Canis lupus familiaris: one gene and its partners. The protein of the gene in region 1 purifies or fractionates together with the protein of each later gene. This does not show direct contact. Links are inferred from orthologs where the notes say so. Each region holds a gene or a part of one and is shown in the gene's direction. Other genes may lie near its edges.

The links. The genes of interacting proteins can lie anywhere in the genome.
Region 2: the proteins of STUB1 (region 1) and PKM purify together in Homo sapiens (affinity purification with western blotting; 3 studies listed by BioGRID, with this or other methods). This does not show direct contact. The link is inferred for Canis lupus familiaris from reciprocal best matches to the Homo sapiens genes STUB1 and PKM.
Region 3: the proteins of STUB1 (region 1) and DNAJB6 purify together in Homo sapiens (affinity purification with mass spectrometry; 4 studies listed by BioGRID and IntAct, with this or other methods). This does not show direct contact. The link is inferred for Canis lupus familiaris from reciprocal best matches to the Homo sapiens genes STUB1 and DNAJB6.

What each region holds. Positions count from the first base shown.
Region 1 is NC_049227.1:40,363,629-40,367,640, reverse strand, and holds STUB1 (E3 ubiquitin-protein ligase CHIP), read left to right. Parts: upstream 1-1,178; 5' UTR 1,179-1,291; coding exon 1,292-1,450; intron 1,451-2,006; coding exon 2,007-2,205; intron 2,206-2,297; coding exon 2,298-2,463; intron 2,464-2,523; exon of another isoform or gene 2,524-2,672; coding exon 2,673-2,760; exon of another isoform or gene 2,761-2,878; coding exon 2,879-2,935; exon of another isoform or gene 2,936-3,015; coding exon 3,016-3,132; intron 3,133-3,209; coding exon 3,210-3,335; 3' UTR 3,336-3,583; downstream 3,584-4,012. Other genes in the region: JMJD8 (jmjC domain-containing protein 8), read right to left, coding at 3,630-3,710, 3,785-3,919, 3,995-4,012. UniProt on the Homo sapiens protein: E3 ubiquitin-protein ligase which targets misfolded chaperone substrates towards proteasomal degradation.
Region 2 is NC_049251.1:36,175,259-36,179,319, reverse strand, and holds the start of PKM (pyruvate kinase PKM), read left to right. Parts: upstream 1-1,237; 5' UTR 1,238-1,323; coding exon 1,324-1,373; intron 1,374-2,933; exon of another isoform or gene 2,934-3,070; intron 3,071-4,061. UniProt on the Homo sapiens protein: Catalyzes the final rate-limiting step of glycolysis by mediating the transfer of a phosphoryl group from phosphoenolpyruvate (PEP) to ADP, generating ATP.
Region 3 is NC_049237.1:20,508,701-20,512,702, forward strand, and holds the start of DNAJB6 (dnaJ homolog subfamily B member 6), read left to right. Parts: upstream 1-1,178; 5' UTR 1,179-1,282; intron 1,283-1,710; exon of another isoform or gene 1,711-1,760; intron 1,761-4,002. UniProt on the Homo sapiens protein: Has a stimulatory effect on the ATPase activity of HSP70 in a dose-dependent and time-dependent manner and hence acts as a co-chaperone of HSP70. Plays an indispensable role in the organization of KRT8/KRT18 filaments.

The sequences.
Region 1 (4,012 bases):
AGGTCCCCAAGTGTGGCCCTAGGGAGACCCTGCCCCTGCCTCTCCCCCACAACTTGCGGTCTGAGCCTTTTTGGAGAATGAATAAATATTTTACACAGCAGGAGGTGGCTGCAGTGGGCTCTGGGGGCTGGCCCCAGGGGCCCGCCCGGCCCTCGCACGGCAGCCCAAGCTCTCCCGGTGCTCCCTGCACCCAAACCAGGCGTGCGCGTGTGGCGGGTGTGCGAGGAGCTGGGGTCCTCACAGGCAGCGGAGACTGCAGCCCAGCCGGTCGCCCGCCCTCCGAGAACCCTGTGGCCCGGGCCCAGCAGGGTTCAGCCAGCCTGGCTTCTCTGCGCTTCTGGGCCGGCGCGGTGTCCTTGCGGGTGGCCAGGCTGGGGCGGGTCCCACGCGGGGAGGGGTCCCGGGCCTGAGGTCCCGCCCGGGCGGGGACAGAGGGGGGCGGGGGCCCGGGCCCAGGCCATGCGGCGCTCGGGCCGGCTCTGCCTGCCGCATGCACCCCGCCTCCCCAGGGCCGCGGGCGGCGGGCGCGCGGCGGCCTCGGAGCTCCTGCAGCCGGGGCTCGAGCCTCGCCAGCGTCTGGGCAGGCGGCTCCCGCGCACCCCCGGGGTCACGGCCACGGGCCCCCCGGCAGGCGACGACACTCACCGGCCGGGCCGAGGTGGGCTGGGCGGGGTGGGTGGGGGAACCTCACCCGGAGCCCCGCCCCCCGCTTCCACGCCGGCGGCCACGTGCTCCTCCGCTCCGCCCCCGGTGGCCGCGGGGAGCCCTCTGGGGCCTGGGGAGGGCGGCGACGGAGCCTCGGGCAGCGGGGTTCGGCCGTCCTGCCACCGCTCCAGAGCTTCCAGCCGTCCCTGGCGGCCGCGGCACCTCCCCGTGCGGCGCCAGGACCGCAGCCCCGCGGCCCTCAAGGCCCCACGGCCGCGCAGCCAGCCGGCGGCCGCCTAGTCCGCGCGGGGCGGGGCCTCGGCGGGGCGGGGCCTAGGCGGGGCGGGGCCTCGGCGGGGCGGGGCCGCGCTTGTCGCTGTCCCGGACGTCCGACGTCGCGGGTCGCGTTCCCTCGAGCGCATGCGCCCAGTCGGTCCCGCCCCCCCTTGCCTCCGCGGCCCGTCGGACGCAGGCGCGCCCCCGCCCGTGCCGCTGGCCCCGCCCCGCGCGGCCGGAAGTTCCGGTGGCGGATCGCTGGACCGGGCCCGAGCGGATCGCGGGCTCGGGCTGCGGGCTCGGGCTGCGGGCGCAGGGCGGGCCAGACGCGGAGCCTGGGAGCGAAGCCCGGGCTGTGCCGCGCGGCGCTATGAAGGGCAAGGAGGAGAAGGAGGGCGGCGCGCGGCTGGGCGCCGGCGGCGGAAGCCCCGAAAAGAGCCCGAGCGCGCAGGAGCTCAAGGAGCAGGGCAACCGGCTCTTCGTGGGCCGCAAGTACCCGGAGGCGGCGGCCTGCTACGGCCGCGCCATCGTGAGTGCGCCCGCGCCGGGGGAGGGGGCCGGCGTCCGGGCGGGGGAGTGGGCGGGGCCCGGCTCGCGGCCCCGCGTCCTCCCCGGAGCCCCTGCCCCGCCGCTCCCGCCGGACCCTCGGGGCGGTCTTGGTTCGCCCGCGGGGGCGTTTGGGCCCCGAGAACTCGGTGCTGATCATGTTCCAGTCGAGCCAAGGCCGCGCGGTTCTCGAGCCAGTGCTGGTTGCTGGAGGGGCGGGTGGGAGCTTGAGGGGTGCTCGAGGCCCCAGGCCGGGACCAGGGTTCCTGTCCCTTGAGAAGCCCAGGCCCGAAGCTGGGGCTCTCCTCAGGTCCGGGAACCTCACCTTTACAAAACCTCCTGGGAGCCCCGAGAGGGTGGGCTAGCGCAGGCCTGAGGACCGGGAGTTCACTCTACAGCCCTAGCTGAGCAGAGGCTTCCAAGCTGAGAAATTTCTAGTGTCTGGATTTTAGCTACGGGCTCCCAGACCAGGACAGGGCCTAGGACAGGGCCCACGGAGCTTTTTCCCTCATGCTGGCTGGCCTGGCCTTGGTCCCCAGACCCGGAATCCTCTGGTGGCCGTGTACTACACCAACCGGGCGTTGTGCTATCTGAAGATGCAGCAGCATGAGCAGGCCCTGGCTGACTGCCGGCGGGCTCTGGAACTGGACGGGCAGTCTGTGAAGGCACACTTCTTCCTGGGGCAGTGCCAGCTAGAGATGGAGAGCTATGATGAGGCCATCGCCAACCTGCAGCGAGGTGGGCCTACAGGTTGTCAGGGGACGGCGGGGGCGCCTGGGACCAGGTGGATGGACTGGCCAGAAGGTGACCTGAAGCCCCTGTTCCCCCAGCCTACAACCTTGCCAAGGAGCAGCGGCTCAACTTCGGGGATGATATCCCTAGTGCTCTGCGCATCGCCAAGAAGAAGCGTTGGAACAGCATCGAGGAGCGGCGCATCCACCAGGAGAATGAGCTGCACTCCTACCTCACTCGGCTTATTGTGGCCGAGCGGGAGAGGTGGGCTGTGGTAGCGGCAGGCTCCAGGGCCCCACCCACCCCCAAGGCAGCACTCTGGGGTTAACTGAGTCAAGAACACAAGTGTTTATTGAAGGCCAGCACTGGCGAGCAGTTGGAGGGAAGAGAGACCTGAACAAGCCTGAGGTTGGGGTGGAGTGTGATCTCTTCTGGCCAGACCCATTCCTGACTAGCTCCTGGTCGACCCCCAGGGAGCTAGAAGAATGCCAGCGGAACCACGAGGGTGATGAGGATGATGGCCACGTCCGGGCCCAGCAGGCCTGCATCGAGGCCAAGCACGTGAGGGTGCCCCAGCCCACGTGTGGATGTGTGCGTGTTTGCGTGCCTGTGACTGGAGGGTGCCCGGGGGAGGGGGAAGGGGCATTTGGCCCACGCGTAGCTGCTTGGTTCTCCGCAGGACAAGTACTTAGCAGACATGGATGAGCTTTTCTCCCAGGTGGACGAGAAGAGAAAGGTAAGCTGTCTGTCCTCTGGGTAGCAGGAATCGGAGCCGGGTCCCCATCCTGGTGCCTGACCTGACTCCATGTGCCACAGAAGCGAGACATCCCGGACTACCTGTGTGGCAAGATCAGCTTCGAGCTTATGCGGGAGCCGTGCATCACGCCTAGTGGCATCACCTACGACCGCAAGGACATTGAGGAACACCTGCAGGTGAGAGCCAACAAGAGTGGGGAGCAGGGCCCGTAACCACTGAGCACTTTCTGACCTGCTGTCACTGCACACTGCAGCGTGTGGGCCACTTTGACCCTGTCACCCGGAGCCCCCTGACCCAGGAACAGCTCATCCCCAACCTGGCCATGAAAGAGGTCATTGATGCATTCATCTCCGAGAACGGCTGGGTGGAGGACTACTGAGGCCAGGCGAGTGCCAGAGCTGCCTGCCTTGCCTAGTACCCTGGCCCAGGTGGGCTTTGGGGCAGTAGCTCCCAGTTCCTGTACATAGTTTGTGTCCCTAGATCCCTGCCCTGGTGTCCCTTATCCCACCCTCATCAGTTCTGCTGCTGGACCATGAGCCCCACCTCCACCCCCTTCTGGGCCAGAAACAGCAGGTGAGGGTGGGCTGCTGCCACCACTGTCCTGTAATAAAACCTGTGAGCACTATAGGGGTGTGTGCTGGTGTGTGCTGGGCTCACCAGCCGCCCACTCTACCTAGCCGAGGAAAGTAGAGATAAAAACACTGGTGTCCAGGTTGAGCGTAGCATGCCACCACCGGTCAGGGAAATACAGCACCTGGTGGAGGGTGGGGCACAAGGATTAGCTGGTGGCGTGTGATCCAGCCTGACCCCTTCCTGCCACCTACTGACCTCACCAGCCTGCACGGTGCACTCCAGGGGCCTCTCAGATGGTGCCAGGGTTGGGTACACGTCCTGAAGCCAGGCCAGTGTGGTTTTGTTGGGGTGGAACTCAGGTGTCTTCTCAGGGGGATACAGGAACCAGCGCTGAGGGTGAGATCAGCCCGTCACTCCATGTTGGCAGGCAGTAAGCCCCAAGCCGCAGCCCCGGCCCGTGCTGACCTTGCGGCCGTAGATCAC
Region 2 (4,061 bases), on another chromosome or scaffold:
TCGCCCCTCCCCTCGGGGCTGGGCTCGTCCGCCGGCGCCCCCCGCCCCGCCCCCCGGTGCCCGCGGAGGCGCAGGGGCCCGTCGGGGGCGCAGCCCGGGGCCCCCTCCCCGCCCTCCCCGCCCGGGGACCTGCGCAGCCTCCGCCTCGGGGCACCGAGGGAGCGGGTGGGAGCGGGTTAGGGGCGCAGGGGAAGCACGGGGAGCGCTTGGCGCCACGGTCCGCCTCCACTGGGTGCAGCCGGTGCTGCTCTGGGGCGGGGGGCTCGGGAGGATCAGGGCGCCGCGGGACGGGCTGCGGCGCCGGAGCCCTGGGCGGGGGCCGCGCGCTCTGGGTTCGAAGCCGGGAAGGACCTTCCGCTGTGAAGGTCATTGAAGAGCCCAGGGGAACGGCGTTGCGTTCCTCCGCTTTTTATCCGTGTTCTTCAAACCCAAGGCGCGGATCCTCTCCCGTGCACGTGAGTCCGAGCTGATGAAGGTCCGGGCACGATGCACAGAGAAGTTAACAGGCTTTTAGAATCGAATTTGGCTCATTAGCATACAGCAATGGTGCAGGGGGTCCCCGTGTGTAACAGTAACCTCTTCGCTCCTGACTGTTGAAGGACGGGTTACTATTCACACTGGGCGCAGTGTCTCCTGTCTAGTGAGGAAATGTCCAGAAGAAATGACTCCGGATGTGTTCCTCGGTCCCTGAGCACAATTACATAAACTGCTTCAGCACAAGGGCTCATCTTCTCCTTGCCATCCCCAAACACATACTCCTAGTTAATCTTGGGATTAACTCCTAAGTCAGGGTTTCTAAATACTAGACATCTCCTGGAAACCAATCCCCTAAGGGATCCTGGTGCAGTGATTACAAAGTAACTAATAAAGGTTACCTTGCAGCTCCCCATTCGGCTACCGGGGCTCTTTGGTCTCCTGAGGTTAGTAGACAAAGGAAGGCCAGGAGGGTCGGAATTCTGGCAGTTGGTGTTGGGCTGTAGGACTAGAAACAGACCTGCAGCCCCCACGCTGCACTCTTCCCCCGCTGTCCCCACCTGCTCCGGGTGGTGTTCTAGAATTTGCTCAGCCAAGTGGTCAGCGTGAGGTTGGGATAGGAGGCAAGGACAGTGTGGCCTCCTGTTGGTAGTACTGAGGGTGCGGCCACTCCCTGGGGTACAGAGGATATCCTAGGTCAGGACTCCTGCTCTGAGGCATTGTGAGCAAATAATTTAATCTCTTGATGCCTGAAGATGCTGTTGGGAAATGCAGTGGGGCTGTCCTGAGGGGAAGGGTATGTAGCCCATCACCAGGTTTGTGGATGAGTGGGGAGGCCTCTGGGGGAAGATGACTCAACCTTTCAACCTCTCTGCTTTTGAGAGAATTCTCTTTGTTGGGTGAGTGGGAAACTGCATTGTGGTCTTCACAGGTTTAAAAAGTCCCTTCTCTTCATTTAGTGAGTCAAATAGTGAAACACGCATTTTCCCCAGTTAAGTGAAAAGTGGTTGTCCAGGTTGTCCCTGCTCTCTGTACTCCCCTAAGAGCTTAGGTGCAGCGTGACACAGGCCTGTGCCCAAGTAACGTAGTCTATGCACCTGCATTCCTGAGACTTCCCCAGGGGACACGGCAGTCCTTTGTGGGAGGGGGGCCTGTTATGGTTATGAATAATGATGACTGAAAGAATGTCCTTGAACTCACCTCTGACTTGAGTCAAAATAGATGGACATTAGTCTCTTCCAGTCTTAGTTTAGCTGCTCTCATTCTAAGCACTGCGTTAGGAGTAAATAATTTTGATGTTGAATTCATAGTTTAACAGAAAGCATTTTTGGGTGTCTAATAATTTGCCAGTGACCTGGCCAATTTGGTAGGGGGGACTCCAGACAGAACTAGGACCTTGTACAAGTTGCTTCTGTGCCTTGGATGTTGTGACATTAATGGGGTGGGGGGTGTCACGGGAAAAGCCATTTTATTTCTTAAAGCTGTGTGTTTCTTAATGTTGAGGCAGTGGAAGAAATGAGGAAATGACTGTGAGCTAGGAAAAACCCAACTCTTGCATTATCAACTCACACTACCCTGGTTCTAATTTATGTTGCTTCAGCTTGTATGAAGGCATGTCAGGATGTGTTATTTTGGCCAAGAGCTAAGACTGAGCTCAAGGTAGGAGAAAATGACTCATTTGACATTTTATTTCTGAATCATTCCAAACGTCTACAGTCAAATCTCAGTTAGGTGGTACCCCACAAGGATGAGTCGCCCGTTTGAGCAAAGTTCTCTTGCAGCCTTGTTGAGGACGTTGGGAAATGTAGAAGTGGTTTACTCGGTGGGAGATGCTGTAGGAGGGGAGCCTGGCTGGCTCAGCCAGTAGAAAGGGCGACTCTTGATCTTGGGGTCGGGAGTTTCAGCCTCATGTTGGGTACAGAGATTACTTTAAAAAAGAAACATTTTTTAAAAGTCCTCCAGGACTGTGAGTCATCACTTTAAACCTCAGTTCTGGTCCAGCTAGGACTAGAGCTAAAGGAAGAGCGTTCTTAATGCGAGCATGCTCTGGGAACTTGGGTTTTTCACCACGAGCCCGTCTCAGACTAGACCAATGAATAGTCTGCTTGTTTGGGGCTTTGTTAAGGAAGCTGTTTGGGGGAAGGTGAGCCAGGGTGGCTAGTGGATGGGGGTGTGCAACATCTGGTGGGCCTCTCTCTCAGCCTCCCGGTGTGACTGCTCAGCTCAGGGGAGGGGGTGTTGGCAGAGCCACCGAGTGGTGTGGCGCCCGCCCCTGCAGCGGTCTGTGCAGTTCTGCACGTAGGAAGGAGGGCCTGTAGGAAGGAGGGCCAGCCGGGCTGCAGTACCTCCGGCGGCCTCTGAGACTTACCTCCCCCACTTCTGTCCATAGCAAAGCTTCTGGGGAGCTCTAAGCCTCTCTTCCCTGACGCCAGCAAGCTATGTTTGGAAGTTAGGCAGGGGCCGTGGTGGGGGAGATGCCAAGCCAAGCTGTGACAGTGCCAGCTTAGCTGATATAGTTCGAAAAGGTCTCTGGAAAGGCGCCCATTCCTTCCGAGCCTTTGAAGTCGACCTACAGCTAGTACTTCTTTAACTTCAGGTAATTAGTGTCTTCCGTGTTTCCAGCGACGAGGGCAAAAGAATTAACCCGGTCAGTGAATCAGTCACGGTATAGGAGACAAAACCACGGGCAACTTGAAGGAGCCCTGGGAGTTTTAATCTCGTTAGAGGTAGGGAAGTAGAGGCTTTTGATAACTGGTATCTCTCTTTTGTTATGACATTAGAAAACAGGTTAATGTCCCCTATCCAGAGGGTCTACATTTTAAAGCTCTGACAATATTGAATGCTGGCAGAAGTGTTAGAGGGCAAGAACTCACATTGCTGGATGGTTGTAAATGGATATAACCTCGTTAGGGCCCTTCAGCAATATTTAGCAAAATAGAAAATAAACATACCCTGTGACTTAGGAATTTCATTTCTGGATATATATAGAAGCTCACACTTGCACATAGAGCCGTGTACCAGGAGAATTGTTGATTGCATTGAATAATAGGGGGAAAATTGATTGGGTTGCCAACCAGTAAGGGAATGCGTAAATAACCGATGTAGTCGTGCAGCGGATCGGCATAGTCGTTCGTATGAATTAACTAGATCTGTGTACCCGCAGGATAGATCTTACATGTGCTGAAAAAAAGCAAGATGTTTATTTGTACAGTATTGTACTGAGGGCATTTTAGAAAAACGGTGTCATAGGGATCAGTATAGATATAGATGCTTAAATGGATTAGAAGGATACAAAATTCCTGACAGTGGCTGGGTGTCAAAGTTCGTCGAAAGGTTGGAGGGCCCTGGGGACGGAGGGAAAATAAACTACAAAATTGTAATGGTTAAGAAAAAAAAGTCTACAGGAATTCTGGCTAAATGTTAGTAGTCAGTTCTGGGCGGTAGAAATACGGATGTTAATATTCCTTTTTTTTTTTCTTCAATTAAAAATAAAGCAAAATAGAAGCAGATCTGTGAAAGTCACTTTAGGAAGACCAGTTGTACTAACTAGGTCAGTGTTCTTGGAGAGCTGGGACTGCCCTTCCTCC
Region 3 (4,002 bases), on another chromosome or scaffold:
GGGTGGGGGTCAGTTCCAGGAGGAGAGCAGCAGAGGCTCTGCAGGTGGGGGTGGGGGTCAGTTCCAGGAGGGGGGCAGCTGAGGCTCTGCAGGTGGGGGTGGGGATCAGTTCCTGGAGGGGGGCAGCTGAGGCTCTGCAGGTGGGGATGGGGGTCAGTTCCAGGAGGGGGGCAGGGGAGGGTCTGCAGGTGGGGATGGGGGTCAGTTCCAGGAGTGGGGCAGCTAGGGCTCTGCAGGTGGGGATGTGGGTCAGTTCCAGGAGGGGGCAGCTGAGGCTCTGCAGGTGGGGGTGGGGGTGGGGGTCAGTTCCAGGAGGAGAGCAGCAGAGGCTCTGCAGGTGGGGGTGGGGGTCAGTTCCAGGAGGAGAGCAGCTGAGGCTCTGCAGGTGGGGGTGGGGATCAGTTCCAGGAGGAGAGCAGCTGAGGCTCTGCAGGTGGGGATGGGGGTCAGTTCCAGGAGGGGGGCTGCTGAGGCTCTGCAGGTGGGGGTGGGGGTCAGTTCCAGGAGGGGGGCAGGGGAGGGTCTGCAGGTGGGGGTGGGGGTCAGTTCCAGGAGGGGGGGGAGGGGAGGCTCTGCAGGTGGGGGTGGGGGTCAGTTCCAGGAGGGGGGCAGCTGAGGCTCTGCAGGTGGGGGTGGGGGTCAGTTCCAGGAGGGGGGCAGGGGAGGGTCTGCAGGTGGGGATGGGGGTCAGTTCCAGGAGGGGGGCAGGGGAGGGTCTGCAGGTGGGGATGGGGGTCAGTTCCAGGAGGGGGGCAGCTGAGGCTCTGCAGGTGGGGGTGGGGGTCAGTTCCAGGAGGGGGGCAGGGGAGGCTCTGCGGTCCCTGGAGCCGCGGTCACCTTGTTTTCCTGCTACTAGAGGGGACACGACAAAGAGCACTGTCGCGGGGGGCGGCGGGCGCGGGCCCGGCCTCCTGACCGGCCGCCCAGGCTGAGTGTGTGTGACGGCCGCCGCTCGGTGGGGTGGGCGCGGGACAGCACCCCCGGGGGCGCCGGGACGCCGCGGCTGGCCCTTCCCTTCCACCCCCGCCCAAGCCGGGCCTCGACGAACCTTCGGGAACGCGGGCGGGGCGGGGCGCATGCGCGGCGTCAGGGCCGGGCGGAAGTGTACGTCGCCGTGCCGCCGCCGCGTGACGCACTTCCTGTTTGTTGTCGGAGAAAGGAGAGAAAGGAAAGCGCGAGGAGCCGCCGCCGCCGCCGCTGCCAGCGCCGCTGTGCCGGAGCCGAGGGGACCCGGGCCGCCGCCCCGCCGCGCCTCCTGCCCGCCGCCGGCTCCCTGTCCTGGGTGAGCGTCGCCCTCGGGCGGGGGGCGGGCCTGGGACCGGTGTGGGGCCGCGCCGGGGCGGGGGGCTCGGGCCCGGGGTCGGGGATCTGGGGCCTGCCGTGGGGCCGGCCTTCCGAGGTGAGCGTCGGGCTGGGGTGTCTGCGGGCTGCCGGGCCGGGGCCGGGGGCGCGGGCGCGGCGGGTGGGGGTGGCGGGGCCCGGGCCGGCGGTGAGGCCGGGGCGGCGGGGGCGGGCGGCGGGCGTGGGCGTCGGGCTGGGTGCACGGGGGCCCGGCCCGGGGCGGGGCCGGGGTCAGGAGTCGCGGCCCGGGGCGGGGGCGGGCCCCGGGGTCGGGGCGGCCTTCGCCCTTGGTTCGCCCCGCGCCGGCGGTTGGGCCGGGGCTCGGGCGGGGGGCGGGCTGGGCGGGGGCCCCGCCGCGGGAAGGCAGGTTTTTACTCTTCATAAAGCCCCACGTGGATGACCCCAAAGCCAGAGACGAGGTAGGTCTGCAGAGGGTGGCAGTCTGGGGGAGGACGCCCCGAACACGGAGACCAGGAAGCGGCTCCGGGAGACGCGAAGCCGCGTTCCCGGAACTTCCCACTAATTGTTTAAAAGTTTTCGGATGAGCAAAACGCCCGGATCTCACCCAAACAGCCGGTTTGGTCTGTTGCTTCAGAGTGTGTCATGATTTATAGGAGTGAGGTTTACGTCAGCCTGTGCCCAAGGAAGGGGACAATTGAGGCACGGAGGGTAGGTGGCCTACCGTGTGGTCCCGGAAGGTCTTCGAGCGAGCCCGGGGTTGGCAGGGGGGCGGGGGGGGGGGGGGAGGTTCGGCTCTGGCCGGGACTAGTCGGCTGCCAGCGAGAGGAGGGGTTAGCAAGCCCGTGGAACTTGTTGCTGCTTTTCTGCTGTAATCGTGTCGAATAATGATGCGGGTCCAAATGTTTCCGCACTGTGCTTCCCTCCCGCGTCTCCCAGATACCCCAACCCCCGGTTCCCTGGGAAGTTCATAATGTGCACTTTTAACTACTTTGGGGTTAGTACTTGCGTGTTTGTGTAACAAAAGGATGTGTGGTTTTTATGCATAGTAGCCGGTAAGTGGTGGAATGTTCTGGATAAGGCGCATGGGAGTTGGGGAAGTACATTGGCTTGGTGGGGTGGGCTGAGCCTAAGCCTCAACTTGTTGCTTAGGGTTTGGGACTTAAGGAGCAGTTAGGGGATTTCACAGGAGTTCAGCACCCACTTAAAAAATCTGTGTTTTAAATTTGTTTCCTTGATTTGAGATTGGTGTATTTGAGAGGTTTTTCTGGCTGCGGGACAGACTTATCCGGAGGGCTGGGTGGAGAGCGGTGTTTAATATTCTGAAGACTAAATTATGGACGAGGAATGATAGTACACCTGCAATTAAGTGGCACACAATAGCTTTTGTCTTTCAGCAAGCCCATTATTTTTCGTAGGTGTAAATATTAAGAGTAGAACCATTTTCCTCTGTTTTCACTTTGTTTTTGGACATCTTTATTATTTATTTTAAAGGATGTATATTTTTTAAGATCTTATTTATTTATTCATGAGAGAGAGAGGCATAGGGAGAAGCAGGCTCCATGCAGGGAACCTGATGCGCGACTCGGTCCCAGGACTCCAGGATCACACCCTGGGCCGAAGGCAGACGCTAAACCACTGAGCCACCCAGGGCTCCCCTGTTTTGGACACTTTTAAAACGATTCTACTCCCTACCATTAGTAGTTTCTGACTCGCAAACTCAAAAACCAGGTTGGGGCAGGGGATGGTGTTTGCATATTTTTTAGTTTGTTTTATTTAAGAGGGCACTTTAAAATTCAGTAAGTTTATAATTTTATTTACTTAACTTATTTTAAAGGCTTGCTTTATTTATTGGAGAGAGTGAGCTCAGCAAGGGCAGAGGGAGAAGCAGAGTAGGGAGCCTGCCCTGGGGCTCCATCCCAGATCTCAGGACCCTGGGATCTTGACCAGAGCCATCCAGCCGCCCTTAGTGAGTTATTTTAAATTCACTTTTCAGGGTTGCAGTGTACTACTGTTACCTTGGTGATGTTCTGTTACCTTCCACAGTTGCTGGGACTGCCCATTACAGGTCATCTGCTGTGTTAGTTAAGGGTTGAGGGTGATTGCATGCCTTTTCTGTTGCAGGATGGTAAGGATTAAGTGAATGGAATCAGCCTCTATTTGTAAATTAGAAAGGCTTTTTTTCTTGGAAATCTAAAATTTAGAGTGGGGGTGGTCTGAGAACTCTGGTTTGCTTTAAATTTGTTCAGAACACCACCTAGTGGTGAAATAGGCGTAATTGCAGGTTTATTAGGGAATTTAGGATGGGGACAGTGGCCAACAGGAATTAACAAATGCTGTCGTTTCTCTTTGATAAATAAGATTTGTGAGAACTTGAAATTCAGGAGGTAAATGAGAAGAACAGCAAGGTTGGTGAAGATAAGAATAGTGGTAGAAATTATAATGTAGGAATGGAAGGACGATTGACTAATTGTAATCTCTACCTTGACCTCGGCGCTTGAACTCACAACTTTAAGATCAGGAGTCACATGTTCTACCAATTGAATTAGCCAGGTGCCCTGGAAAGACTATTTTATTTTAATTTTTAAAAGATTTTATTTATTTATTCATGGCAGACACAGAGAGAGAGAGAGAGAGAGAGAGAGGCAGAGACACAGGCAGAGGGAGAAACAGGCTCCATGCAGGGAGCCCGACGTGGTACTC